Alligator mississippiensis: one gene and its partners. The protein of the gene in region 4 interacts with the protein of the main gene of each other region in a pairwise test. Links are inferred from orthologs where the notes say so. Each region holds a gene or a part of one and is shown on either strand. Other genes may lie near its edges.

Region 1 (7,767 bases), on a different chromosome or scaffold from region 4:
TTATATAGGGGATCATGGGTGACCATTGCCATGCCACGAGGGCTCCTCATATTTAAATTAAAATCCACAAATCATTCAGAGAGGGAACCCTAAAAAAATCTACCTTGTTTGGATAGTAGGGTACTAACTATGAGCTGGTGAGTGCCCAGATGCTAAAGCAATAGGGGCTACATGTGCACACTTAAGAAAGAGCCTTATATTATACCCTAAAAATCATAAGACAGATCATCTGGCAGATCATGGGGAGTAGGATCCACAGATGGGAGATCTCAGAGATCTCTCTGCCAAGATCAGTCAGAGAACAGAGACCAAATGAACACGCACAGATTTTACCTAAAGGCCAATAATGACAACATCCTAAAGGTTAGGTGGAAGATGATGCGACTACAATCTCCCTCTCATCAAAATGTGCTGCTGCTAGTCCAAATTAGAAACTGTAACAAGGTCTGTGGAAATATCCCCCTAAATGTCTTGGCAACAAGCTCATCTAGCAGAAGGATCATGTAGATATTGTACCTGCAATAATTTCTCCAATAATATGACTAATTTAAAAGAAAAGAATGAATGAAGAACCTTGGAGCTCCTCACCACCATCTTGGCTTGGAGCATGTCCAAAGAGCCCCCAGAGTATGCGAATAACTACTGGAGCTGCAGGAGGAGGAGATGCAACATCTGGGGTTGAGGCTATGGACTAAGAGGGAGCATAATTAATATGGTCCTGAGGGAGTGGCAAATATGGGTCTGGGATAACTGGAACTGGGTTTGTTAGAAGCTGGAAAATCCACACCTTCAGAGACAGCACTTTAAACACAATTTTGTGGTTTGATTTCAGTGGGGTCTTATAGTCAGAGCTCCTCAAGTTGGGACCAGTATCACTCTGTAAATCTATGAGGGTGGGGTTCCTGTGTAATAGTCAAATGCACAGTGGAAGTGTGTCTGGCTTAAACAAAAATCAGAAATCAGAATATAAAACATGACTTAATCTTTTAAAAAAAGCTCATGTTTTGTGGGTATGACTCATGATTTTTGAACTTTTGGGATTGCCAATACTGAGAATGTACATAACTAAAATATTCAGTCCTGGTAGTTGTAGAATATTTATGACTGGCTGTTCCATTGTCTTCACACATCTATATGGCATTATGCTGGTCATAGCTATGAAATGTAAATTAGTCTTGTTCATCTTAACTGTCTGTAGAAAAATTAAAACATGCTAACTAATTTGTGTTGCAAATTTTAACCCACATAACACCTTGTACACATTTTAAAACACTTTAACAAACATGGGGGTCTAATCATTGCTCACATGGGAAAGCCCATGGAGGCTGAATGGAAGAAATATCCAGGAATTATTTTGTGTAGTGATTCTACCCCCCCCCCCCTTCAAATATTCCCTTAGGGGAAGGGACTGAACAGGATTTTCCCAGAAGTTGTGGCTCTGGCTTGCAAATCCTGTGATTTCTTTCAGATCCCAAAATAACCTAGGAAATCAGTTTAAGATCAGGCCAACCCAGATGGAGGCCCCCATGTTAGCTCCAAATCCCTGGCAACAACATGTCCCAGAACAACAAAGGCAGTGCAACAACAAAAGTATTGCAGAGTTGGGGGCTCTCCAGCAGATGACTACCTCAATCAATTCCTTGCAATATAAAGACTGTGGAAAAAATAGAAAGTCATACAGCCTGGAGCCATGTTATACTTGAAGAAGAAGCCTTGTGAGGCTCATGAGGGTGATGCACGTGCCAGTTTATCATTTACCCTTGTGTAGATACCCAGATCTGAATAAAATTGTTTTGGGAAAGTTGAAATATTTTTACTGAGACAATTGATTACATTTTCTATCTAGGCAGGTGAGCAAGAGCTCTGCACAGAAGACTCAAAACACCACCTTCATATGCTGATTAAAGGAGAACAATCACAAATTAAATCTTTAAACACTCTTGTGTGTAGATATCATCTCAATGTTAAAGATATTAAATGACTTGCCAGTGGTCACAAAAAGCCAGAGGCAAAGTCAGAGTAAATAAGACTTATCTCTCTTGATCCCGAGTGTGCTTTAGTTACTAAATTTTCCTTCTTTTCTGACCATGGTGGATTATACATTTGTCTCTGTTGATTTTGAAAAGCATACTCATTTGTGGCCGAGAATTTACCCTTCCTTTAACCCCTGTACAATGGCTGCCTTTTATGTGGGGTCCCTACAAAAGAAACATTTTGTTCTTCCTTTGCTGATCAGTAGAAGTGAGCAGCAGTTACTTAAAAGGCACAAGGACCTGACACTGGTGCACATTGTTGTCAGTGACAAAGCTCCTATTGATAACAGTAGCAGCATGATTGGACCTCTCTCTGGAAACATGCTGCTAGCATGACACTGGCATACTGCTGCTAAATAAATTAGTTTAAAGTGACCAAAAAGTCGAAGTTCATGGAATGGAAATAATGGTAAAAATTACTGGCAAACAAATACTTTTTTTCCAAGTTATTCAAGGAACTTAAGACACAAACTTGATGGAAAAAATAAGCCTCGACAGAGACATGCTTAAAAAGCTTGCCATAATGTTTAGCATATGAGTTGCTCCACTTACCCTGTACTTCTTTAGTACATTGCTGAACTGAGGATGAAAAAAAACCTTGCTGTTAGCATTTAGAAAGAATTTCCTATAGCTCTGAAACTCTCAGGAATTGGCAACATATAATAACGTCTAGTACAGTAATTCTCAACCGTCTTAGGTCCATGGCAGCTCTTGGAAAAATGCTAGCTCTTAGCTTTCGCTCATTTTTTTTTTGACTGCAGGAAAATAATAATGGATTGCCTCTGTTGCAAGGAACTCAGACCACAACAGACAGAATGTTTTTGATGTTGTGGATTCCTATCTGACATCTCTGGGTTTATTTGGTAGTTGAGCAAACACCTACACGTGATTCACAATGCTAACATTGTACCCTTACAAAGATCTCATGGTAGCCCAGAGTGGCGTGGCACGTGGATTGAGAATCACTGGTTTAGTACTTTTCCTGGATTTGTTGATAACTCACTATATTTTAATATTAGTGTATAATTCTTACAATTTTTCATATTGTATGTTGTCCTAGATACAGTGTTTGCATTTGTTTCCTTTGTGGACATTAACTGGGTTCAAGAGTCATCAACTTTCACCAGCTGAGTAGCAGAGTGTATAAAAGAGGGGAGACGAAAGGAAAAATCACTGTACTGTGGAGGAGCAATGGCCTCAAGCTTCAGCAGGGGAAATTTAGGTTGGAGATTAGAAGGAACTTTTCTGACAATGAGGGTGATTGAGCATTGGAGCAGGCTACCTAGAGAAGCTGGGGAATCTTCATTCACTTGACTGAGCTGGTTTAGTCAGGGGCCATCCTGCCTTAAGCAGGGTCTGGACTAGGTGTCCTCTTGAAGTCCCTTGCAGCTCTTTCTTTTGCAGCAGGCCCAGGCCAATGCTGCTGTCTGCTAGGACTTTAATGAGATCCAGTTTTTCCCAATGAAGTATTAAAATAAGATGTAAATGAATTATTTTTTAATACTGTCATCAAATAGTAATATTTGGGCCAACTAACATTTGGACTGACAGTAATATTCAAATGCCAATTATAATTACCTTGCAAATGCAGCCTATTTTGCATCTTATACCCCATGCGTGAGGAGCTCAAGCTTTACTTACTGCGTCAAACCAACTACATGAAGCTTTCCTTGAAAGAAATTCAAGGTCTGAGTAAAACACTGCAGAACAAATGATCATAATGATGGGACAGCAAGCAACAGTGCACCTATTCTTCTTACCCAATACGGTGCTACCAAGTGTCTGAGGCGTGCATGGGCCCCAGGAATGTGTGAAATTTGTGCTGGGAGAGGGTAGAAACTGCAAAGAAAGTCTTTAAGTTTTAAGCCACTGGTTCTCAACTGACCTGCCCTCCACTGGACATGAGCCCCCCGCCACAACTTTAGTGAATCAAGTGGCACCCACTGAAACCCAAATCTCTCTGCTGTAGGGCAGACCCCTTGCAGAGGGGCTGCCAGTGCTGTGGAGAGGTCTCTGGGGCAGGAGCCTGAGCCTGAATTCATCTCCTGAGCTCATCCCCTCATGCGTGCCAGTGCCCTTCAAGGGATCTGGCGGCATCCCAGGGTGCCCTGGCAGGGTCTCTGCCTGGCCGCTTCACCCCGGCTGGGAAATCGCTGCTGTCGCCGGTGGCAACGCGCACAGAGCACGAGCTGAAGCGAGCTCCGGCTCGAGTCCGCTCGTGCTCTGGGGCTCTGAGGCAGCTGGTTTCGTGGGTCTGACGCAAAAGCGGGTCGCAAGAGGCCATGAAAGGGCCACGAACAAGATCAACGCACTTTAACTGCGGGTTCTCCTTTAAAGGAGAAAAACGTGGGAAACCGCCGCGTTACGCCCCCCCCAACAGCTCCAGGCTGCCAGCGAGCAGCTACTCGGGACCCCCCGCCCTGCACACTGCGGGGCAGCGGGCGGAGACTGCCCGCCCATGTTCACGACTGGGGCACTACTCGGGGGGCGCCCCCCTCCGTCCCTCGCCTTCAGGATGAGCGCCTTGCCAGCCGGCTGCAACGGCCGCACCGCGGAATCGCCCGCCCGTTCCCGGCGCCTCCCCTGATTTCGTCGCCCGCCGGCAGCAGCGAGAGGGAAGCGTTTCCCCGGCGTACCGCCGGATGTGACCCCCGGGCAGGCGGGCTGCACCGGAAACGCGCGGGAGGCGGGGCGGGGCCGGGCCCGGCGCTTGCGCAGTGGTGCCGGCGGCGGCGGCTCCCGCTGGGCTGCGCTGCGCCCCAGCCGCGGCGGTGGGTGTTCCTCCGCCCCGCGCCCGCCCTCCCTCCCTCCCCGCCCGGCCGGCCGGCCGGGTCTCGGCGGCGGCGGTGCGCTGAGCTGCGCTGCGCGCGGGCGAGGAGGAGGAGGAGGAGGATGTGAAGATGGCGGAGCTGCAGATGCTGCTGGAGGAGGAGATCCCGGGGGGGCGCCGGGCCCTGTTCGACAGCTACACCAACCTGGAGCGGGTGGCCGAGTACTGCGAGACCAACTACATCCAGGTGCGCGGCCGCCAGCGGCGGTCGGGGCCGGGGCGGGTCCCCCCGAGCCGCCGCCGCTTCCCGCCCGGGCTCCTTTGCCGGGGCCGCTGCCTGCGCTGCGAGGGGGCGGCTGTGCACGGGGCCGGCCGCCTCGTGGCTCTGGGTCTCTCCCCGCGGCCCCCGGCCACTGCAGCTGCTGGAGGAGGGCGAGTCGCGACAGGAGAGGGGCCGGAGGAGGCTCGGCTGTCCTGGAGGAGGGGAAGGGAGGGGAGCTGAGCCCCTCGCCACCCCGTCCGCACAGAAGAGATCCCGGCCTCAGCCTGTGCCCTCGTCGTTTTTCAGGCACCAAATTGCTCTGGGAGGGTGAGGCGGTGCAGGAGTGCCCCCTTCCCCAGAGAGCTGCGTGTGAGGGCGTGTTGCCGCTGCTGGCATTCACAGTGCATTGCCTCCCTCCAGATGATTGAAACATGTTTGGGTATATGTATGGGCAGCTCTTCATTCATTTTTATTTGAAACCTTGGACAGCGAGCCTTCAAGGATTGGGGAGTGTGGGAAGTCACAGGACGGCAGGGATGTAATTCGAGGGTTGTGCTCTGTGCGTGCCGTGTCTGACTGGCGTGCTAAAGACATCATCTTCATATTGAAGCATTTTGGTAACCTCTTGTACCATGACAGCATTTGTATTTTAGAGCCAGTGGAGGACTCTTTGCTGCACCAGACACTGTGCAAGCGCAGTACCAGGAGATGGTCCCTGCTCCGTAGAAATGACCGCGTAAGAAAAAAGAAGAGGGATTCAGATGCAGGAGTATTAGGGGACAGTGAGACGATATTAGTCAGTCTTGTAGGCAGTAGTTTTGGCATACCAGCAACCTAAGTTTAGTTGAATTTCTTTCTTGGGTGTCATGGTAAAGAAAGACTTGTAAAGATTGATTTGAAGGAGAATGATGAAGTGGCTTTGTAGATGTTTATTGGGGAGTGCTTCCTAACTATGAGGGGCAGTATCAAGGGAAGTGGGAAGGCGCTTGATAGTTTAACAAGCAGGCATTGGAAGCAGATGTTAATTGGCCAGTTGGAGGCAGGAATCAGCCTCTTGGTACTGAATGAGAGGGAGAGGGAAAGAAGCACGAGGAGTTCTGCTGCATGGTTGAAGGGCCTCAGAATCCGAGTGTCTTGTGAATGTGCTTGTAACATGCTCTGAGCTTATCATTGTGGCATCATTTGGGCTGGGGATTCAAAGGTGGCCAGATGTGAAAGTAGCCACATCACTGCCTGTAGAACAAGGGCCGGCACTGTTTTTGGGCAGAGTGTGAAAAACACCCACAGCCTCAACCGCACAGCAGGAGCAGGCAGCAGACGAGCCCTGAGGGGCCCAGTTTTTGTTGTGGCAGTGCAGCCCTAGCCCCTTCCCGAAGGTGTGAATGCCAAGCAGAATGCCTTCGCGTGCTCTGGCATGTGTGGGGGGGGTGTCTACCCTTGCTGTAGAAGGTTGGGTGGGGTGGCACCTTAGGGCCTAACTATTCAGAGAAACATGAGCTTTTGTCAGGAGCAGCCTGCTGTGTTGGGTAGTATGAATCTGTCTTCCATAGCCAACAAGGCACAAGTTGATGCATCTTAACCATGCTAGTCTACTGGGCTATTAAGGCTTGGGGAGGACCTTTGACTTGACCTTGATTATAAAATCCAAGTTCCTGATTTCATAAAACTTAAAACTGAAAATTAACCATGTGGTTAACCATCATGCAAACTAGATTTGATTACATTGAGGCCAAGAGGTGCTGCAGTGCTCTTGGAGATAGAGGTGGGGAATCTAGGCGAAATAGTCCTGCTATTGGTATCCAACACATTTGTAACTAACCTTTCCTTTGGTACATGATATACTAATATAAGAGCCTAAAAGCTTCTGATGGCAAATAATCAGATAATACACTGCGAAGATAAGGTATTTAATTATGTAACAAAAATGCGAGGAGAGAAAGTGTGAAAGAGCTGGTTTCTGCCCAGAACACTGGCTTTTTTGTCATTTTGTCTTGAAAAGCTGTTCTCCTCCTTAAATTTCTCTCATCAGCTGAGTCTCTTCACTGTTAGTCCAGCCAGTCAACTAGTATGATGACATGCTTTTCAGGAGATGCTAACTTATTTAAACAGAAAAATAAATTGGTACCTGCTAATAGAAAAATTAAATGTACAGGCCACACTCAATGCAAAGGTTATTTTTAGTAGCTTGCTTAGAGCAAAGATAGACATAAGGTTACCAACAGCAGTTCACCTAAATTTTAAATGCATAACTAGAGATATTAAACTGAGTAATTTTATCCAAGTACAAAAAAGGAGGGGAGAGAGTATTTTTCACCAGATGAATCTTATGCCTTCAATAAAAATAAATGATGGCATGGTTCTGACTTCTACCTTTTTCTTTAAAAAGATAAAATAGAGCATGTGCAAGGATTTTTATAAAGGCTTTGTCTAGAAGAATGTTTGTTAGAACTAACAGGGTATACCAATTGGAGGCAGGAATCTGATGCTGGTTATTTGAAGCCTCATCTGCTCATGCTGTGCAGCCTGTGGCAGTGCAGCCTGAGCTGTGAACTATATACAGTTAATTAAGGGATGATCAAAAGCTTGACTTCTTATATAGGGTCTCCAATATAATTGAAAATACAGTAAAAGCCCTGTTTTCTGGCATGAGTGGGGAATGCGGGGTGCCAGTAATCTGAAAATTCTGGTTACCTGAGGCATGG
Region 2 (6,918 bases), on a different chromosome or scaffold from region 4:
GTTGCTGACCACTGACTTATGGCCTTTGATGGCAATACTGTGACAGGGAACCCTGGTGGCAATTCAGTGGTAGAGGGAGCAGCTGGAGGGCTCGGAGCACAGCTGATAGTTTGGGAGCACAGCACTGGCAAGTGGGGCAGCACCTCACTCGCAGAGAGCTGCACTAACTTGGACCATTAACCCTATAAGGTTGCTGACACCTGTCTTAGGGTTGTCTGCACTGAAGACAATACCAGAGCCAGCTACCTACCCTGGAAATCTTCAAAAGGAGACTGGACAGTCACCTTGCTGGGGTCACTTGTCCCCAGTTGTCATTTCCTGCTTAGTGCAGGGGAACTGGACCCAATGATCCCTTCCAGCCCCTAACAATCTATGAATCTAAGAATCCATCAAACTATAGCTGGGGCAGCCTGGAGCTCTGCACAGGCTAATTTTCTCACTGAGCAACAAAGTACATTAGCTGACATGGCAGCATGAAGCTCTGCCAGGCTACTGTACCTTGCTGTTTAACAGGAATATTAACCCACGCAGAGCTCCCTGTTGCCACAACCATACTACTTCCAATACACTAGCTAGCTCAAGAATCCCTATACCGCGCTGTCTATAGCACAGACATAGCTTTCACCCCTCAAGAAACCCAGTCATGGCCTTTTGAGAGTCTTCAAGTCACCTGGTTCCCCTTTATTTGTATGTTCAATGAATTCTCAGAGTAGTGCGGTTTTCCTTTCCAGAAGTCATGCTGCTAGACTCTCCTATAATTTCTTTCCAGGTGTTTTATTATTCTAATTTTTAAGCATTTCAACCCATTTGTTAGATGGTGTATGGCTTTCTTGTTCATTTCCAAAATCACCCTTGCAGCCTTCTATAGAAATACAGGGCTAACGTATGCTGCCTTTTCATTTGTTCTACAACTAGAAATTTTTAATGAGATTGGACATATACCTTTGGAATTCAGCTACTTCCAAGAGAAGCAAACAGATCCACATGTTTTACAAACAAATAGGCACACATTTAAAGGTTTTTGTAAAACAAGTATTTGTAAAACTTGTTTATAAATAAGAAAGATCATTACACTCCTTGCCCAAAGCCCACCATGAATTGGTGACTATAAATAAATATCAAGGGATTGATCTTTCCCTTGTCCCTGTACCCAATAGACAACACCACATCCAAAACTTTTAGCATCAAAAAAAGTACAATACAAACTGCACTGCAGTGCCACTGTAATATTACTGAAAGGGACGGGACATAACTGTTCCTTTTAGCAGAAAAGGACAGTCTAATAACCTAATCAGTAGTCACAGGGTGGGCTTTATCACCAAGAATAAAGAGCCGCATCAGTTACCAGCTGGACCAGCTCACAGTTGCATTTAAATGGAGTTGCTCACTTGGATTTTTCAAATCCAAATTCAGAGCTGTCTACAAAGGCTCAGCGTTCACGTAACTGTGTTGAAAAGTTATACACTGATTTTCAAAGCTTTTGCCAAAAGGAAAGGTACAAACAAAACCCTACCAGCAGCAGGTTAAATATGTCTGTCACCAGATGCCTGAATAAGTATGTATGTTGCCACACCTATTTGTTCTTCCCTAGCTGTACGTTACCTGAAGTACAAACTTCCCACTTCCAATTCTGCAGAGCCGATAAAGCAGCAGCACTTTTAGAATCACATGAAAAACGACGGGACGTGACACAAAAGGGGCCGCCCGGCCGATTTTCTGCACTTAACTACACACTCACAGCATCTCTCAACGGGGAGTTGAGATAGATCGAGTCAGATCTACCAGGGGTGCGGCTGAAATACCCTATGGAAGCCCTGTATCGAGGCGAGTTTAAAAATGTCTCAATAATCTTACATGACCTCTCCATCCGCACCCAAACAACGAATTCATGGAGCTGCACTGACTTAAAAAGAAAGACACATGCCTTGTTCTTCCAGCCAAATGTAAATGGAAGAAAAGTCAGAAGCTGCAAAAGATTATTGGAGAAATACGGCGGCCTGCTGGAGTGACACAAGAAGCCGATAAGGCCCTGTCTCAATTTCACATCCTGTGCTGGGCGTTTCAACACGGGTCTCCTAGAATACAAACCGCACAAGCGCAGAAAAACCAGCGGTATTGGGATTACGAGGACTTTTAAACACAGATCTGCAAAATACAGGCCTCGTAACAACTGCTACTGCACTGCTCGCACATTTTTAAAATCCTTCTCTTTTGAGTGATCGCTCTTGTTAGAAGACCATCTACGGAAATAGCTACGGCCTCAAGAGAAAAATGAAGATCCTCTTCGTTTCCTCGGTCAAGACGAGGGATTCCCCTTGAAGGACCTGCTTCGTTTTAAAATTTGGTGGGAACCACTTGAAACAAATCCTGGAGGCCAAAACTGCAACCCAGGCACAGCAGAAATTAGTACCCAAAAGTGAAACTCATTTGACTCTGTTTCACTTCTATCCGTTACTCTGCTTAAAAGCGAAGCGGGCGGCGCTGGGCAAGGCGGCGAATCTCTCCTGTGGGCATCGCCGGCCGACGCTGCGCCGGGGTTTCGGCGGCATCAGGACCCGGGCGCCGGCAGGGCCCAGCCAGGCCAGGAGTGGGGTGGGGGGACAAACCCTCAGGCGGCAAACCCCAGCTCGGGGCCCTCGGGTGGGCCGGCTCCAGGCGCAGCGGTGTCGGCCCAGGGCAGCGAGTGGGCCCGGGGCCGGGTCCGGGTCCGGGGGACGCGGCAGCGGGCGGGCCCAGCCGGCGGGTGTTGAGGCCCCGCACCGGCAAGACACGGACGCGGGCCCGGGCTGCGCTGCCCCGCCACAACCCCGCGGGCAGGGGCAGGAGTAGGAGTAGGGAGCGCGGCCTGAACCCCCGCCCCGCGCGGCGCCCCCCGCCCCGGTCCCGGCCGGCTGCCCGGCCCCGCTCACCCGAGCCCGTGGTGGCCGCCATCTTGCGCCGCTGCCGCTCCGAGCCCGCCCCTTCCGCCGCGTCACCGCCACGCGCGAACTGCGGCTTGATGGGACGAGACGGGAGGAGCCGCGGGCGGGCGGGCGCAGAAAGTCGCAGTCCGGAAGCTGGGCGGGGCTGGCCGGCAGGCCTCGGGAAGGGCGTTTTTGCGTTGCACGGAGCGTGGGAGGGGGAATAAGCCGTGCGGGCGGGCCGGAGAGCAGCGTCCTCGGGGTTGTCAGGTGCGCGATTATTGCAACCCTTGTGCGACGTGCGAGCAACAGGGAGCCTGCTTTTCTGATAGAAAGGATCCCCAATTTTCGGATTTAAAAACGAACCCAAAATCCAAATTTTTCCGTGATTAAAATGAAACACTACTTTTTAAAAAAAAAACTTTCCTTTGTATTTTTTTATTTTTTCATTTTCCTTTTTTTGACTTTGTCCTTTACTTTTTTACTCTTTTCCTTTTTTACTCCCTTTTTCATTTTTTACTTTCCTTTTTCTTTTTTACTTTTTCTTTTTAACTTTTTCCTTTTCTACTCTTTTTCCTTTTCCTTTTTTACTCGCTCTTTTTCTTTTTTTTCCTTTATATAAAATGAAACACCTAGATAGATAGATAGGCATTTCATTTTAGTCATGGAAAAATGTGGATTTTGGGTTATGTTTTTTAAATTTGAAAACTGGGTGTTTGTTTTTTAACCAGGATCCCTGATGACCACTAACAGTAGAAGTATTCAAAGTGTGGATAGTTTTTGGGGCTGCCAATCAATGCAGTGTATGCAAAACCTGAGTCACTCTCAGGGAGTCTTATCCAGCTCCTGGGTTTGCTGTCAGTGCTTTCTCATGACCGCTTGCTTCGAAATAAAGAAAGGCTTCAACTTGGGCCCAGTTCTCGCTCGGTGGTGACTTACAGTGAGCAATACAAGGTAAAGAAGACTCGTTTGCATAGTTTTTCAGTGTACAATAGTTTTCTAGCAAACGCTATAATTTTGAGCTTCCAATAGGATAATTTCATATTTAAGGACCTGGCCATGCTGGGCATCCTTCACGTTTGGCCAGTGGCTGTTGGCAGAGGACACCCAAGCAGCAGCAGCGACTCCTGCAGGCAGGGGCTGAACAGAGGCAGTGGCAAAGTGCTCCATGGGGGACGTGCTCCAGCTACAGGGGGGGCAAATCAACCTGAATGGGGGGTCAGAGCCGTGCTGCAGGAGCTGTTTCCATGCCATGATCATGGGACTGGGCCCATCACAGGACACTATAAGTCTCCCTTGAGAAGGAGGCCACTGGGAACACATCAACTAAGTTCTTGGGACAATAAAAACGAAAACAGGAACAGGAGCGAGGTCATTAATCACTAGGGCATTGGAAGTGGACACCGAACAGAGCACACCAGCCAGTGCCCACTCTCCCCCTGAAGGAGTCGAGGGAGCCTGTGGGTGCCAACCTGTGAAACTCCGTCTGAAGACATGGGCAGACTAGCTGCTGACAGGGAGCAAGATGGATGGACACAACGGTTTCAGTATTCACACTGGGCTCCGATGCTTCTTGCAGGAGCAGGGCTGCTATGAGTGCTCACAGATAAAGAGTTCTCTGCAGGATGGACAGACCTTTGCCCCCTGCCAGTACCTGTGGGAAACATGGGAGAGGAAGCACAGCGGTCCTGGAGGGCAGTAATTGCTGATCCATAGGAGAATGGAGAGGGAACAGCTAATAACATCACTAGTGAATGCACCATGTCTGTATAACAGCATGAAGCTCCTACTTAAGGTTGCAGTTTCCATTACAGACTCTGCTTCCTTATGCACTCCTGCAGTACTTGACCTTCTCCAGCTGATATTTCTCCATGCCCAGAAGATGGTTTTGGTAAAATGTGTTGTGCACACAAATGCACCCCAAGGGAGCTCTGCTCTGCTGTACAGAGATGCATCTCCCAGGAGGGACCCACACACACTGAAGGAAGCACACAGATCTAGTATGTCTGAAGGATTTGGAAAGGTAGTTAGTGGAGTTAATCTGAAGTCAGACAGAAGGCAGGATAGAGTTGCACTGTATAGATTGACTTAATCAGACATGTACAGTGTGAACTTTCATGGGCCCAAGGTCACTTCAGCAGCAAGGGCCAGATGTAAAAATGTACAGGCTGTAAGCCAGGAAGTCCTGTAAACTGGGTCTGAAGCCTTTCCCTGAACTGGTCTGGGCCTGTTACTGCTCTTTGGGCACATCTACACAAAATGTTAAATGCACAGTAGCCTAATAATACTGTGCAGTCGTGTGTCACAGCAAAAACAGTGTTAATATGCTGTACTACTAGACTGAGTACTATGCTCAGTACTATTAGACTACTGCACAGTAGGGTCATTAAAAATGCATGTGCCGGTGCTACTGCGCATTAAATTAGTACTTGGTTGTACATTAATGAACATGTAGACACCCCCTTTATGGTCCTTTGCCTTGCACTGTGGAGAACAGCTTGAAGGCTACTTCAACTTATACTTAGTTGCAAGAGTCCCAGCAACCTGAAACCAGCCAAGGGTCAGCAGGGGGTATGGGAGTCCTTGCTGCACTTGAGACTCATGCTGAGGCAGCACTTGTCACTTCTAGAGCAGCTGCTTTCAGCCTGTGGCAGTGGTTGGACAGGGCCTGAAGAACTGTTCTCCATCTTCTTACTTCCAGTATTAAGCATAAAAGTGCACTTGGGATCTCCTTCTCACCTCCCCCAACACCACAGCAGAGGACTTGGATGACCTCAGAGCCCTGCCTCTCCTCTTCACTCTTTAACGGCCTTCCTTATCCTGTGTAGAGCTGCTGGGTCCAACTTATCTTCCTGTCCCAGTATCTTGCTGGCAATGAAATGAGGAGGGAAGATGCCAGGAGAGACTAATAAGCCGGGCTGGGCTGGATAGGCCAGACTGAGGGGGGAACAAAGTCTTGAAAGATTCAAGGTGGGAAATGGAGCTGATGGGGACAGATGTTCCCCAGGAGGCTGAAAAGGTAAGTTGGGAGGGAAGGAGGCCTGAATGGAGCTTCTTTAAAGCTGCAAGCTTCCACCGACCACCACCCTGCATTGGCCTGGGCCCCAGCTTATCCCTTTTACTTGCAGTGTGACAGGATGACCATTTATTTCTTCAAATGCTTCAGTAGTCTAGCATTTCATTAGAAGCCCCTAAACATGGATACTGCACCTCTGGTACAAAGGTAGGAAGGACCTGAAATACTTTCCTTTGGTAAAAGTAAGAGTGCTGGTAAAAACCACACACTTAAGAACAGTGGTACAGATCAGCCAGATAAGCGATTGCCAAACAACAAGAATCATCTTCTCTAGGCAAGTTCAGCCATTTTTGCACCTTGACTACACACACTTTAGCACAAGGAAGCCTAATACAATGGAGGATGTTGCTTTTAGTTACCAGGAGATTTGAATGCAAAAAACTGTCTCTAACTTACAAGGAGACTTTTCCAGTCATCCAAGGTTAGATGGAAGTAAACCTTTCCTTTCTCCCCACATCCAAGAAAATGCATAGTGCAATCATCCCATCGCTAACACCACAATTGTAAGTAAGAGTCAGTAAAAAGTGTTAAGAACAGCCTATATAGCCCCTGGAACAATCTCTCCCCCTTACTCACATGACTGATCATCTGAATTATTTTAATATCCAATTCACTCTATTCTAGTCACAGATTCTATACATACTGGCATATGTGAATGTAAGAGTTAGTTGCATGAATCCAGGATTTTAATCAAAATCAGAATTGCCACAACTGAATTCCATTTAACATGTAGCCTGGATTCACTGTTCTGCATCATACTTTGAACTTTCCCCCCTCCCCAAAGTGCCATTACCACCTGTGAACATAGTAAATGTTAGGCAGTGGAGGACAGTGATATGCAAGCTAAAACACTACAGTATAAGCAAAAACTAAAACAGGCTTAAATTCTTAAATTGCTTCACCATGGTCTAATTTCTTAAAATAAGTTGTGTTGAGTCTATG
Region 3 (7,558 bases), on a different chromosome or scaffold from region 4:
TGAGCAGGATGCCTGGGTTTTCTGGGAGAGGAGAGGGGGATGGGGTTCTGAGTGGGGGGGGAGCGGGAAGCCTGGGTTTTCTGGGACAGGAGTGGGGTTCACTGTGGAGGATGTGGGGTCTGGTGGGTTGCAGCAGTAGGGAGCTGGGATCCCAGACTCCTGGGTTTTTTCTCCAGCTCTGAGTGAGGGAAACAAGGGACTGGTGGGAGCAGGACATGAGGGAGGGGGAAACTGGGAGGTCCTGGGAGTTACTGGGTCCCCAAAGCCCACCCCACACCCCTCCTGCCCACATCAGCCTTTCCCCATCCAGTCCAGCCCCCCTCGCCTCCCAAATAACATCGCTGGATACCCCAGGAGGCCAGACCTCCTGCCAAGTTCAGACCCCCGGAGCTATGGGGGGATACAGGGGCCAGAAGGACCAGCAATACCTGGAGTCAGCAGCGTAGCCAGGAGGCCGAGGATGAGTAGGATGTGCATGGTGCTGTACGTGGGCACCGGTGCCCAGGGGGTTTTATACTTTGGGGCTGGGTGGGGCACGCAGCTCTCACCAAACCTAATCCCCCGGGATCAATTCCTGCCGCACCTGGCGCCAGCTCTCCTGGCCCCAGTGCGTCGTTTCTGGCAGGCCTCCCCGCCCCAGCCCAAACCCCATGGCCCTCCCAGAGCTCCCCCACGGGCTCCCAGCCCCACCCTGCTCTCACCCCCTGAGACCCCACTCCCCTCCTCTCCCCTCCCAGGGCTGGAGACAATCCGAGGGTCCAAGTCCCCCCTGCCAGCAGATCTGATCCCCTCTCCTGCCAGGGCAGGTCCCAAGCAGAGTAGAAATCCAGGAACACCTAGTATTCATTACTTAATTAAGAGGCTCAGACCTCCCTGAGCTGGGACTGGAGGCCTCTTGATCAAGGCAGAGGCAGCCTAAAGGAGGGGCTAACAGCCCAGCTGGATACCCACTGGCACCGAAGCCAACCCTTAAGAGGCCTGGGGCCCTTGAGGCCCTTAACAAAGCCAGACCTAAGGAGGCATGGGGCCCAGCCCAAGCCAGCCCAGCTGCCCTAAGGCAGCCAGTCCTAATGAGGCGTGGACAGCCTGAGCTAGCTCAGATTCTGAGGGCTGGGGTTTCCCCAAGGGGCTCGTTTGCATCCCAGCAGCTCGTTAATTCATTCGCTGACCAATTGTGCTCCCTAAGAGCTAGCCTAGGAAGCCTGAGGCCACAGGTCAAAGCCACGCCGGACATACCGTGTGGCCCCCAGCCTGGCTTCCTTACCCGTGCGGCTGGCACCCTACCCCACTCCCCTCCAGAGCTGGGGGAACCCAGGCGAGGGTCTCACTAGGGCCTAGGGTACTGAACACAGGAAGTGGGCAGGGGCTGCGGGGGAGGGGCTAAATCCAGAACCAATCAGGAACCCTGATGGGAAATTTGGGGTCCACCCCCAAATGACAGGAGCACCTCTCAGCCCCAGGGCCACCAGGGACCCACTGACAAGCTGGACCCCCATCTCATCTAGCCCCCCACCTGGGCAGACCCACAAAGAGGTGTGGCCACCATCTTAAAGGCCCAGACACTCAAGTGGAGGAGGGTGCTGGGCTCTCTCCAGGGCTGGGAGGTGCAGCGCCTGGGGGGTGAGAGCAGGGCTGGGGGCTCCGACTCCTGCCTTCTCTCTCCAGCTCTGGGAGGGAAAGGAGGGGAGTCTGGGGAGCGGAGGCAGGGAGCCCCGGTGCCCAAGTCCTATTCCTGAAAGAGGGGTAGGAAGCGCTGCCAGGGGCCTGTTGTTCTTTAATGGCCTGAAATCCATTATGGACTTAACTAACTGTGCAATTAGAGGGCGAGTGGGGCCCTGCTGCCCTCTGCTGGAGACCCCAGAGCCCAGTTCTACCCAGCCGTGCCCCACAGCCCCCCACCCCAGAGCCAGCTGCCCCCAGTGCTGGTCTACCTGGAGCTGGGAGAGAACCAGGGCATCCTGGCCTCCTCCCCCCAGGCAGCATGGGAACCCAGGCCCCCCCGTCCCCCCCACACACGCACGCACCCAGTACCTCACTCCCAACCCACAGCCCCCTGCCCCCCCAACCTGACTCCCCCCCCACTCCTGACCTACAGTCCCCTGGACCCAGGCCTTGCACTGCTCCAATCGCCTCCCCAGGCTTGCACTTCTCCCACAGAACCAGGCATCTCAGCAGGGGGGATCCTGGCATTATGGGGCATGGGAAGGAAGAGGGGTGGGCAGGCAGACGGATGAATAGACAGCTGAATGGATGGACAGACGGATAGAGTTAGACAGACAACAGGCAGGTGGAAACCCCTAGGCGCCCAAGCCTCTCCCAGAGCTGGAGAGAACCCAGGCGGCCGAGGTGGCGCCCAGGGAGGCCAGCCCTGACTGCGACACCACCCCTCCCCGAATGGGGAAGGAACACAGGTGCCCGGGCTCCCAGCCCCCTGCTCTCACCCCCAGACCCTACTGCCCTCCCAGAGAACCCAGGCATCCTGGATGATGGGCTTCCTTTGACGGTGCAGCCCCAGTGCCCCTCACTCCTGACCTGCTGCCCCCCACTCCTGCAAGTGCTCCTCACTCCTGACCAGCAGCCCCCCACCCCGGCACGTTCCCTGGGCAAAGTCCAGCCGGGGCGGGGAGCGGAGCCACCCACTCAAATATTGACCCTCGTGGGGCCTCGCCCTGCCCCGCCCGCCCCCACCCCAAACACACACAGGGCCCAGGGAGAGAACTCAGGCATCCAGACTCCCAGCCCCCCCTGCTCTCACCACCCCTCCCCTGCCCGCTCCCACGCCCCAGGGCTGATAGAGTCTGCGAGCCCCCACCCCCCTGCATCCAGGCACAAGGGACTGGACCAGGACCAGCGCAGGAGCCAAGGACACAGGTGGTGTTGGGGAGTGCCGATGCCCCTCATGCCCAACCCGCGGCCCCCTGCCCTCCAACCCTGCCAGTGACCCTCACTCCTGACCCACAGGCCCCTTTCCCCCCCAGCCCTGCTGGTGCCCCTCACTCCCGACCCACAGTCCCCTGGCTCTCCACTCCCAAGCCGCAGCCCCCTGCCCACCCAGCCCTGCTGGTGCCCTTCACTCCCGACCCTCAGCTCCCTGCCCCACAGATACCTGGCTGGGGGGGGTTAGGGGTCTCTGCTTTAACCTCCCCTCCCCCCCCAGACCACCATGTCCTACCAGACGGAGATCATTGTAGACTCACAGCCGGGGCCGCTGGGCCCTGGGGCAGTTTTCAGCGTGGGGGCGCTGCCGGGGGGGGCCTGGAGCTCCGAGCTCTGCGACTGCTGCTCTGACGTGGGCACCTGTGAGTAGGGGGGTGGCTCTGGGGGTTTGGGGGGGGTCTCAGGTGCCCTAGGGGAATGGGGTCCCCTAGGGGCACCTCTGGAGGGGGGTGTCTCTGGGTTGGATATCCAAGGCAGGGTTCCCAGAGGTGTGCCCCACTCCCAGGTCTGTGTGGTGCGCTGGTGCCCTGCATCTTGGCCTCCCGGGTCTCGGAGCGCTTCGGCCAGACCTGCCTGCTGCCCTGCTTGCCCGGGGCCCTGGTGGCCCTGCGGACCGGCATCCGTGAGCGCTACCGCATCGAGGTGGGTGTGGGACAGGGGGGCTGCGGGTTGGGAGTGAGGGGCACCGGGGGGAATTGGTGGGGGTGCGGGTCAGGAGTGAAGGACACTGTGGGGAGGGGATTGAGGGGCACCAGAGGGAGTGGAAGGGGCTGCAGGTTGGGAATGAGGGGCACCAGACAAGGGTGAAGGGTTGCAGGTCAGGAGTGAGGGGCACCAAACAGAGGGCTGTGAGTTGGGAGTGAGGGGCACCGGGGGTGTAGTGGGGGGCTGCAGGTCAGGAGTGGGGGGCAGCGGGGGTGTAGGGGGGCTGCAGGTCAGGAGTGGGGGGCAGCGGGGGTGTAGGGGGGCTGCAGGTCAGGAGTGGGGGGCAGCGGGGGTGTAGGGGGGCTGCAGGTCGGGAGTGGGGGGCAGCGGGGGTGTAGGGGGGCTGCAGGTCAGGAGTGGGGGGCAGCGGGGGTGTAGGGGGGCTGCAGGTCAGGAGTGGGGGGCAGCGGGGGTGTAGGGGGGCTGCAGGTTGGGCGGGAGGGGCAGCGGGGATGTAGGGGGGCTGCAGGTCGGGAGTGGGGGGCAGTGGGGGTGAAGGGGGGGGGGCTGCAGGTCTGGCGTGAGGGGCACCAGCTTCCCTCTGCCCCCCCAGGGCTCTGTGTGCGACGATTGGCTGGTGATGGTTTGCTGCCTGCCCTGCGGCCTGTGCCAGCTTTCCCGGGAGCAAGACGCCCGGCAGTGACGGGGGACGGTCATTTGCACAGATTTGCATGCATGCAAATGAGCTCACGCAAACGACCCTACCCCAGCTCCCCGCTGACACCTCAATAAAGAGCTGATTGGAGCCGCGCTGTGGACGGAGCCTTATTTCTCCCCGTTTCAAAGTGGCATCTGTTTGCATATATGCAAATCAATCTGTTAAAGGAGCCCCGCCCCAGGCTCAGAAGGGGTGTGTGTGGGAGGGGCATGTCCCATCCCCACGTTCCAGGAAGGGGGGCGCTGGAGGAGCCGGACTCTATTTCCCAGCATGCTTCGCGCCCCTCGCCTCTGGCTCCCGGCATACCCCGCGCCCCGCCCCCCCCGCAGCGTCGGTTACCCGTTGCCACGCCGACAGCCGCGCTCCGGCTCGGGACGCAGGTGAGGGGCGGGCGGGCGGGCGGGCGGCGGGGACCCGTTACCATGGCGACCCGGGATGCAGGGACCGCGCATCCCTGCTGGGGGGCGGGGGGGGACACACCGGGATCGGGGCCGGCCCCGCCCTGCACGGGCACGGATCGGGCCCCCTTGGGCACTCCGGATCGGGCCCTGCCCCCCGGAACCACCCCGGAGCAGGGCCCTATCGGCGACCCCCCTACGGGCCGTGTCCGCCCCTGCCCCCGGCACTGCGCACGCACCGGGCCGCGTCGGGTCCCGGAAGCTCTAAAAGGGGCCGAGTCCCCGCGGGACCTGCGCCCCCCCCCGCCCGGATCGGGCCCCAGGGGCTTGTAAAGGGGCTCAGCCCCGCCCCGGAGCTCCCAGCCCCCCGCTCTCCCGCCCAGGCCCGGCTCGGGCCCCGCCGCCATGGCCGGGAAGGGCCCCGCCAGCCCGGAGCAGCTCTTCCACCCGGGCAGCGACAGCGACAGCGACCCGCCCGCGCCCGGGGCCAGGTGCGGGGACCCCGGGGCTCGGGGGGGTGGGGGCGGAGGTGGTGGCGGGGTGCGGGGCCCGGGGCTGAAAGGGGGGGAAGATGCGGGACCCCGGGGGGGGGCGGGGCTCCAGTGGCGGTGTGTGGAGCGGGGGGATGCGGGGACGCGGGGGGGTGCGGGCCCCCGGGAGGGGGGGTGCGGGGATTCGGGGGGGGGTGCGGGCCCCCGGGAGAGGGGGGCGGGTCCCCCGCAGGGTCTCACCCCCGTCCCCCGCAGGTCCCCGCCGCCCCCCGGGCCGGGCGCGGCGCTGGGCGCGGGGCTGGCGCGGGCGCGGGGCTGGCTGGGCCGGTGCGGGGGTGTCCGGCCGTGGCCGCGGCTCCTGGACCCGCGCCGCTTCGCCAAACCGCGGGACGCGGCGGAGCTGGGCCGGCGCGTCACCCGTAACGCGCAGCGTTTCCACGGCAACTACGCGTGCGTGGCCGCCGCCCTGGCGCTCTACTGCCTGTGAGTGGGCGGGGCCGGGGCTCCGCGGGGCGGGGAGGGGGCCCGCTTCTATTGGGGGGCAGGGTCTGAGCCTGGTGGGTTAAGAGACCCATCCTGCAGGGGGCGGGGCCAGGGCCGGATGCATGGGGCGGGGCTCCGATGCTGGGGGTTGGGGTCCTGATGGGGGCAGTGGAAGCTGATCTGCCCCCTCCGGCCCCCGCAATTCTGGGGGGACAAGCCCAGATCCTGGCGGGTGGAGTGGGATTCTGGTGACCTGGGCCCTGAACCTGCCCCCAGGGGTGGGAGCTGAGGAAGCCAGGATGTCTTATGAGCGCTGGCATGGCAGGTGATCAGGGGAGTGGATCGAGGTCACCTGGGAGCTCTGCTCCCCCCCCCCCCACTTACCCTTGTGTCCCCCCCCAGCATCACGTCCCCGCTGCTGGTGGTGGCTCTCGCTGTCTTCCTCGGCGCCTGCTACGTCCTGCACGTCCGAGCCCAGCAGGGGCCACTCGTGGTCCTGGGTGAGGGGGCCCGATCCAGGCCTGATCCTGGGAAGGCAGCAGGGGGAGGGGAGGGGAGCATAGGGCAGGGGCTTGTTCCTCTGGCTGCAGGGGAGAGGGGGCATTGAGCTACCTGGGGAGGGTGGGGATTGGGTCTTTTCCATAGGGCCCGGGCCCAATCCTTGGGCATGGTGGGCTGCCTCTGGTAGTGGGGCTGGTCTGGGGTTAGGGTGGTGCTGGGTACCTCTGACCCTCCCATTTCAACCCCCCTCCCAGGCCGTGAGCTGAGCGCCGGGCAGCAGTATGCAGTGGCCGGAGGTGTCTCCTTCCCCCTCTTCTGGGTGGCGGGGGCTGGATCGGCTGTCTTCTGGGTTCTGGGTGAGTGAGGGAACCTCCCCCCTCCAGCTTGCAGGGCAGGCACTGGGCTGCGGGTTGGCAGTGAGGGGTACCGGCAGGACTGTAGCGGGGTGGGGGACTTTGGATTGGGAGTGAGAGGCAACAGCAGGGCTGGGATGGGCAAGGGCTGTGGGTTGGGAGTGGGGGACACCGGCAGGGCTGTAGAGAGCGGCCAGGGGGATGCGGGTGGAGAGTGAGGGGCACCAGCTGGGCAGGTGGGGTGGGGTACTTACGGCCCCCCCCCCCCCCCCATCCTCCTGTCTCCCGTGCCTATCCCTGACCCCGCAGGCGCGACCCTGGTGGTCATTGGCTCTCACGCCGCCTTCTACGAGACCGAGCCGGCCGAGGGCGAAGAGCTGCAGATGGAGCCTGTGTGAATTCCACTCCCAGCGGCCCCTTCTGCCCCCCAAGTCTGCCCCCCTATGTTGGCCTCTCCTCTGTCCCACCAGCTCTTTGGAGCCCCCTTCGCTGCAGCTCTGCCCCCGCTCTCCCAGTAGGAGAACCCAGGTATCTGGGCCTCCCCACTCCACGGGAGGCCTCTTGATGCTAATAAAGCCCTTTTGAGTGCGAGCTCGTGTCCTGTGTGGAAGGGATGGGGCAGTGTTGAAGCACACACGCCTTGTGCACATGGCACGCCCCGCTCACCTCCCAGCACCATGTGTCTATGATGTGTTTGGAGTTGGAGCAGGGGCTGGGAGCCTGGACACCTGGGTCATTGTCCAATTCTGCTCCCAGGAACTGAGATCTGGGATCTGAGAACTGGATAGCTGGGTTCTCTCCAGCTATGGGCTGGGATTGGGGGCTGGGGGGTGAGCAACAGGGGCTGGGAGCCCAGACGCCTGGGTGCTCTCCAGCTGCGGAAGGAGGCTGGGGGGATGACTTGGAGTAGGTGGGAGCTAGGAGCCAAGATACCTGGGTTCTCTCCAGCTAGGGGAGGGGGGTGGGGGGGATTGCTTAGGGCAGGTGGGGGCTGGGAGCCCGGACACCTGGGTTCTTCCCTGCTCTGGGGTC
Region 4 (7,248 bases):
AGGTGCTCTGATCCTGCCCAAAAAGAAAAAGTAAAAAGTGATTTATTTTCTCTCCACCAGCAGCTCTATGTACATGCAATATATTTCTGATTTATTAGCCAGCTCTGGCAAAAAAAAAAAGGAAGAAATCCAGTTGGTCCTTCCACATGCTAAAGGGGCAGATTAATCTCAGCTGGTCTCACACTGGGCGAATTCCAATGCTAACTTGCCTTTTCCAATACAATGAATAATCTACTTGCAAAATATAATGTATAAGCAAACCTGAAATAAGTGCAAGGGCAACAATAGATACTGATGACTGAATTCTGTCCTCAGAGTGCCTTCAAGTTTATATAATGTAAGAAAATCCTGGGCAAGTACACCAAGCATTAAGATTTCATAGACTTTAGGGGCTGGAAGGGACCTGTGAGATCATCAGATATTGCACGTTAAAAGTTTGGCGATGAGGAGCACATCCTGGCTGCCTTAGGATACTAGCATGTCTACCCTAGAGATCTAGATTCGTGTGTGGCATCAGACATGGGTAAAGTGAATAGGATTGTTTTATCTTTCTAGATAACTATGATCAGCTGCAAGTTTCATATGCATTGAAGAAAGATAAATTCCAGTGTAAGTGATGTGACAGAAGCTGGTTTATAGAGTTTTAGCCCATTTGAAAGTATGCTGTTCAGATTTAATCTAATGCATTTCGTTCATCTCTTCATTCCTGCTTCTGTACCCCAAGACACTGGGAAAACCACTTTCACTACACCAGTGAAAGCGTTAATAACTGGTCCAATAAAAATATGTGAATGTGAGTGTTCAGTATTCATTCTCAGACTTGGTTTTAAAATGTAGCTCATTTAATTTAATTTAACAATCTGGTAGCATCCATCCCATTTTGGTTCAGTCTAATGCCATTGCTTATCCAGGTTTCCTGTATCTTCACATCACTCCCTACTGTGAAAGGATTCTAGCAGCTCTCACTAAAGCAGCCCCATTCAAAAGGGTTCACATCATTAAGCTATTATTCAGTAGACTCCGTTTCCATATCTTTGCTGTTGCTTTGCTTTGCCATTAAAAGAGGTTGAGGGGTTGGGGTGAGGGGAGTTAGAAATCTCCGAGGGTTGTTTTTTTGGGGTTCTTCAGATGAAGAACAGTGCTGCAAGACCTGTACAGAACTGTGAACTCTCAGCTGTTCTCTGAGTCGGGGTTGCTTGCTCTCAGCATTTTTTACCTCCCTGCTGAGCCTGCTTCAGTCTTGGGAGCATTTTAGACAGAAAGGTTTGGTACATTTCAGGAGACCGCTTGCTCAACTGAAAGATGACATTTATAGTAGAGAGAAGCACTTTGTGCTCACGGAGGGTGAAGCATACATTCATTTATCTGCTTTCAACCAACCAGAGTTTGCTGTTCTGTGCAGCCCTCGTTCCCAGGGACTGAATCGATCCTGTAGTGGAGTTGCGCTGAACTACCAACTGAGATCTGCTCCTTAGCTCCTTGGATTAGCAGCACTGCGGACTTAACACAGCCCCTGGGAAGTGACAGGTGTCCAGCACTGAAACAGGAGAGTTGCCTTTATCTTTAGCATGTGTAGGAGGCTGTGGGACCAAAAGAGAGAATGCTGAAAAGTAGGCCAAAAACACTCCCTCAAGGGGTGAACAATGGCACTGAAAAATGCTAAAAGCAAGAAACCCAGAGTGTAAAACAAAACCCACTATCTAGGTTAGTGATTTCAAATCAGGGTGTCTTGAGATCGTCCCAAGGGTACTGCAAGGTGCTATGCAATATTAGCCCTATTAGGTATGCAAACACGATTCACCAGACAAACCCAGCTACTTCAAATAGAAATCCATCCTATTAAAAACACCGATCCTTGTGGTAGTCTTTCTGAGTTCTCTGCAAGAGGAAAAATGCTGTATTATTTTGTGTGCGCGTGCAGGTGTGCATGCATGCAATAGGAAAAATGTATTATTGTGCATGTGTGCACATGCGTGCGTGCAACAGGAAAAATGTATAATTGTGCATGTGTGCACATGTGTGCGTGCAATAGGAAAAATGTAAAATTTGTGTGTGTGTGCATGCATGCAATATAGGAAAAATGCTGTATTATTGTGTGTGCATGCGCACGTGTGTGTGCACGCATGCAGTAGGAAAAATGCTGTATTATTGTGTGTGCATGCATGCAATAGGAAAAAGGCGGTGTGATTGTGTGGGTGTGTGGGTAATCAAACGAGCAAAAATGAAAAGCTGGCTTTTTCTGGGGACTGCTTTCAGTCTAAGCAGGGCTGGGTCTAAGGAGGTTGAGACCCACTGATCTAGGTCTGTAGGAAAACATGCCAACAGCTTTTGCTTAGGAGGGATAAAAAAGGATGCTTGACATGCCACACAGGGCTACTGACCGCCTTGAAAGGGGGCATGCTTTTGTTAGGGATAAGCAGCTTTTCCTTTTAAAGCGGGTCAGATTTCCAACAGGCAGAAGGAAACAGCGGCCTTTCAATAACAGATAGAGAGAGAGAGAGAGAGAGAGAGAGAGAGAGAGAGATGGAGAGAGAGAGAGATGGAGAAAAAGCAAAAGATAGAGAAAGAGAGATGGAGAGAAAGAGATAGAGATGGGGAAAAAGAAAGAGAAAGAGAGGCAGAAAGAGGCAGGGGAGCTCCTGGGTTTCAGGAAGGCCTGCGGGTCTCCCAGCCTTGCCCTTACTCACAGGAGCCCCAGGTTTCTCGGAGGCTTCAGGCCCCCCGGGCTGGTGCCGCCCGCCCGCCCGCCCGGCCGGGACGCGCTGTGTCCCCGCGGGCCGCGGGCGGGCGGGCGCAGCGCTGCAGGGCGGACAGCCGGCGCCGCCCGGGCGCTGCTCCTCCCTGCCCCGAGGTGGGTGCATCCGCGGCCCCTCCCCGGCCCGGCCCGGCCTGGCCCGGCCCTGCCGCCTACCTGCCCGCTCCTCCGGCCGCCGCCGCCGCTCCCAGGCTGCCCGGCGAGCACCGCCCGCCCGTCCGCCCGCAGCAGGCTGGGAGCTGTAGTCCGGCCCGGGGATGCTGCAGGCCCCTCCCTAAGGCCGCCTGTCTGCTCGCAGCCCGGCTTTGTCTTAAACGTGCCCGGGGAAGCTGCTCCGATGCTCCTCACCCTGGTTTTCCTGGTACCCAGCCTCCACCCTTGCTGCAGCTCGAGAGCATGGCTGGGTGGAGAGCAGCCCGGCTCCATCCTCTGCGGTCTCCCGAGGCGGTCGTGGCTGTGACCTTACTCGCAGGAGCCAAGGGTTTCGCCGAGGTTTCGAGCTGTCTGGAGGGCGTTGAAGCTGCCATTCAGTCCCCCTCTGCAGACTACATCAGCCCAGCCCCCTTGGCTCATCTGTCACATCCGCCCAGCCCCCCTGAACCAGTTTTGGTTGCCCTTCGCAGGGCTCTTCCCTAATTTGTGCGTGTCCTTTTCATAGCAGTGGCCCAAAACTGGACACAGCACTCCAGATGTGGCCTCGCCAGTGCTGAATCGAGGGGAAGAATCAACCCGCTGGCAACGCTGGTGCTCGTGCAGCCCAGTGGGCCGTTAGCCTTCTCGGCAACTAGGCCTTGGCTTTGGATTAATATCATGCATACTTCGTACTATATACTTACCCGGCAGGGGAAATACCAGGACCCCTATGGGGGTTTTCCTAGTCGCTTTTGTGGCACACGGTAGTATCCGCAGAAGTAATGTGTAGGTAACCTCCCACTTTCATTTCCAGTGGGAAGATCTTGGTGTTACACCCACTTTATGGAAGTCGGAGTCTCCTCCCTAGCTTGCTTCTGCAGCCGTATGGCTGAGGGCAAGCAAAACTCGGAGTCATCCAAACCCCAAGCCTCTGGGCTTGGGCCTGCATGTAGGATGCCCACCAAAGGATTTAGAAGCATCTGAAGCCCCAGGGGGTGGAGGATGTTTGCCGGTAGCAGGGCCACATTCGGTTCTTGAATGACTCATGGATTTGGCTTGGAACACAACAAATTTTCCTTAAAAAACCCCCCAAACTGGGGCACGCTGTTGGTTCATATGCAGCTTATTGTCCACTGTAACCCCCAGGTCCTTTTTTGCAGAGATGTGCATAAAGGGTGGTTTAGGCAGCATCATGAGGCTGGGGCTTAGGAAGAGCCAGGTCTTGCCTGCATTTGCGAGTAGGCCTGCTTCCCTTCTTGGAGGCCAGCAACCCATTTAGTTGCTCTAATACCAACCCCCATTGTAGAGAAGAGGAAGCAGGGGTTTGCATCCCAGCCTGCCCTTCTTTGCTTGTAGGATTTGACATGGATAGGACCTGATCATGAGACAAGCTGTTCTTGGTATATTGGATACTGTTCCCTATAGTTGTACGTGAGCAACTGAGGTGGTGACCTCAGGGGGATTCCTCACCTACCGACAAAAAAGGAGGCGCCCTCCAGTTACGTTCCTATATTTCTAAGATGCATCACACCTTCCATCCAAGGATCTCAGACTGCTTTATAGATGCAATGTATTTCACTTATATAATATTGGGAAGTGTATAATTAGCTTACTTTTATATTGCCCACGCATTGTATCATCTAGTATTGCTGCATTTTAATTTACCATGTTGGTTAAGTGCATACACTGCTTAAGTGCATAGCATATTTCAGCTCTGCTATCTACTTTATAACTTCATTGTACTTGGATAATTGCATGTTGACTGTAATGGTAGTTCTTTACCTAGTAACTAATTGGCCTTGATTTAACTGCCAGAAACAGGGAACGGGAAGCTGCTGTCAAAGAGATGCCATTAGAGCTTCGGAAATGAGCAGGACTAATCTGTTTCGTGGCTGCTATCTCCCTTTATTTTCAAAGCATCTAATAGAACAGGGGTGGCCAACCTGCACCATAGGTGCCACGTGTGGGACAGGCAGCATCTGTGTGTGTGCCCTGTGGCAGACTGGGGAGGGGACAGGTAGCACAGCAGCAGATAGGGCTGGGAGCAGAAAGCAGAGCATCAGATCAGGCAGGGAGCACAGAGCAGGGAGCAAAAAGCAGAGCAACAGGTTGGTCAGGGAGCATAGAGCAAAAAGCAGAAGAACAGATCAGGTAGGGGAAAGGGATCAGAGTGGGACTTGGGAGGATGCAGAGCTAATTTGTGGCTTGCCTGCCAAAAACAAGGCTGACTCCCCCTGTAACAGAAGCCTCGAAATATGAGGAGAAAAACCTTGGAAATTCGGGAAGCTGGTCAATTTCTGAACTGTTGGCACTGTAGCCCTGACAGCACAGGGTACGTATGTACTTACTAAGCTTTGCTTACAGTGTTATTGGTGCCACGGTTTTAGCAACCCCAAAACCAACTAGCCCCCCTCCATTTGTAAGGCCTCTAATAGCAGACTTGACTTGAAAATTATAGGGGCTTGTCAGTCTGGCGGCTGCCAAATACCATGGCACTGATAAATCTTTAAGCAATGCATGTTAAGTATACAGTGCTGCCATTGCTGTGATACTAGAAGACCCCAAACTGACTGGCTCCCCTTATATTCAGAGTTTCTAATAATGAATATTTGGGCTGCTGTCAAAAACCCTGCAAATAAAGAAAGCTGATCAGAAGCCCATGACCTTAGCACACTGGGTTCTCAAACTATTTTAGACTCAAGGCCCACCCCCACCCCCAAAATGCCAGCTCTTAGCTTTTGCTTATCTGTTTTTACTACAGAAACAAATAGAGTAGGTCTCCTGCTGCAAAGAACTCAGAAGGACCACAACAGGTCAGACATGTTTTTGACACTATGGGTTTCTATTTGAAACATCTAGGTTTATGTTGTGAATCGTATAGGTGTTTGCACGCCAAACAGTACTAATATTGTGCGGTATCCTTAAAAGGATGGCATAATCCTGGTTCAGAATTATTGTTCTAGCAAATATTCAAGTCCCTCTATTCCAGTAACATATATTTTTGTTCTTGAATTAATGGAGAATCATAAAATCATAGAAAATTAGGGTTTGAAGAGACTTCAGGAGGTCACATCTAATCCAACCCTCTGCTCAAAGCAGGACCAGCCCCAACTAGATCATCCCAGCCAAATCTTTGTCTGCCTAGGTATTTAAAACTGTCAAAGATGGAGTTTCCACCATGTCTCTGGGTAACCTGTTCCAGTGTTTTACTACCCTCCTAGTGAGAAAGTTCTTCCTAATATCTTACCTAAACTTCCCTTGTTGCATCTTGAGACCATTGTTCCTTGTTCTATTATGTGCCACCACTGAAAACAGTCCATCTCCATCCTCTTTGGAACCTGGTTCAGGTAGTTGAAGGTTGCTACCCCACCCCGTCTTCTCTGCTCCAAACTAAATAAGTCCAGTTCCCTCAGCCTCTCCTCATCTCCTTTATAAGTTAGTAATTCAGGACCTTTGAGGCTCAGTGGAGAGGTTCTAATGGTATCTAGTAACATATAAGCAATATATCTGCTATATTACATTAACAGGGTCCCCATTTTACAGATGGGGAACTGAGGCATACCATGATTTTTGTGGCTTGAGTATGACTGTGCAGTCACTCTATAGAAGAGATGGATATAGGAGCCAGATTTTCTGACTCTTAACCATTTGATTATTAATGGAGACATACAGACTGGCTCTCTTCTTTGTGAGTATGCAGCCACAAGGATCTAAAAACCTACCTCTGATCATGGATTGTGCTCAGATTTGTGCTCCGAAGCCAAAGACTGAACCAGAATCTGCGGCACCATCCTCTGATTGGGGGAGTTATCATAAAATAATGGAGCTCAGCAGTGTAGCCAGTCAGTGCACTTCTCTAGGGAGCAGAGAAAAGCCCTGAGTTGAGTCACAAGGGGAAATGAAATCCATTGCGTCCTTACTAGCTTCCATCTCCATTCCCTGATGACAGTAAAATGCTGCGGACATCTACTGAATAGAGTACCAGCACCCTCGGGGATGCGCGTTCCCCAGAGAGATGGCATTGTCTTTGGTCATGTCTGTCTGGTATGTTTGGTCCCACATCAGTCATTAACATGACCTCCTCCTCCTGCCCCACCCCCCATTTCTGCCTAATTAGTGGTAGCCAGAAGTCCTTGTCTGAGGTGGTGTTGAAGGTCTGAACGAGACTTGGCAAGATCTTTGTGAATTTACAGTGATGCAAGCGGGCAAAATTTGATGGCAATGAACTGTGAGCATGCTAAGGAAAATCTATTGTACACGTATGCATGCGTGTTGGGGAGGAATGGGTGAAATATTGACCTTCCAGGATAAAGAGAGTGGTCCTTGAGCTGCACACCCATGAGATGAGCCCTTGAAGCATC

Evidence for each region.
Region 1: the proteins of TRIM32 (region 4) and ABI2 interact in binary tests that used the Homo sapiens proteins (3 or more experiments, as listed by UniProt). The link is inferred for Alligator mississippiensis from reciprocal best matches to the Homo sapiens genes TRIM32 and ABI2.
Region 2: the proteins of TRIM32 (region 4) and UBE2V1 interact in binary tests that used the Homo sapiens proteins (3 or more experiments, as listed by UniProt). The link is inferred for Alligator mississippiensis from reciprocal best matches to the Homo sapiens genes TRIM32 and UBE2V1.
Region 3: the proteins of TRIM32 (region 4) and RABAC1 interact in binary tests that used the Homo sapiens proteins (3 or more experiments, as listed by UniProt). The two-hybrid records come from large-scale screens. The link is inferred for Alligator mississippiensis from reciprocal best matches to the Homo sapiens genes TRIM32 and RABAC1.

The regions. Positions count from the first base shown.
Region 1 is NC_081827.1:172,083,183-172,090,949, forward strand, and holds the start of ABI2 (abl interactor 2), read left to right. Parts: upstream 1-4,764; 5' UTR 4,765-4,933; coding exon 4,934-5,050; intron 5,051-7,767. UniProt on the Homo sapiens protein: Regulator of actin cytoskeleton dynamics underlying cell motility and adhesion. Functions as a component of the WAVE complex, which activates actin nucleating machinery Arp2/3 to drive lamellipodia formation.
Region 2 is NC_081832.1:13,255,362-13,262,279, reverse strand, and holds the start of UBE2V1 (ubiquitin-conjugating enzyme E2 variant 1), read right to left. Parts: upstream 3,014-6,918; 5' UTR 2,932-3,013; coding exon 2,910-2,931; intron 1-2,909. UniProt on the Homo sapiens protein: Has no ubiquitin ligase activity on its own. The UBE2V1-UBE2N heterodimer catalyzes the synthesis of non-canonical poly-ubiquitin chains that are linked through Lys-63.
Region 3 is NC_081838.1:29,452,183-29,459,740, forward strand, and holds RABAC1 (prenylated Rab acceptor protein 1), read left to right. Parts: upstream 1-4,555; 5' UTR 4,556-4,570; coding exon 4,571-4,680; intron 4,681-5,081; coding exon 5,082-5,189; intron 5,190-5,444; coding exon 5,445-5,672; intron 5,673-6,074; coding exon 6,075-6,172; intron 6,173-6,427; coding exon 6,428-6,529; intron 6,530-6,835; coding exon 6,836-6,924; 3' UTR 6,925-7,117; downstream 7,118-7,558. Other genes in the region: cornifelin homolog, read left to right, coding at 3,158-3,299, 3,443-3,579, 4,196-4,285. UniProt on the Homo sapiens protein: General Rab protein regulator required for vesicle formation from the Golgi complex. May control vesicle docking and fusion by mediating the action of Rab GTPases to the SNARE complexes.
Region 4 is NC_081835.1:54,504,831-54,512,078, reverse strand, and holds the start of TRIM32 (E3 ubiquitin-protein ligase TRIM32), read right to left. Parts: upstream 3,012-7,248; 5' UTR 2,912-3,011; intron 2,782-2,911; exon of another isoform or gene 2,688-2,781; intron 1,581-2,687; exon of another isoform or gene 1,381-1,580; intron 14-1,380; 5' UTR 1-13. UniProt on the Homo sapiens protein: E3 ubiquitin ligase that plays a role in various biological processes including neural stem cell differentiation, innate immunity, inflammatory resonse and autophagy.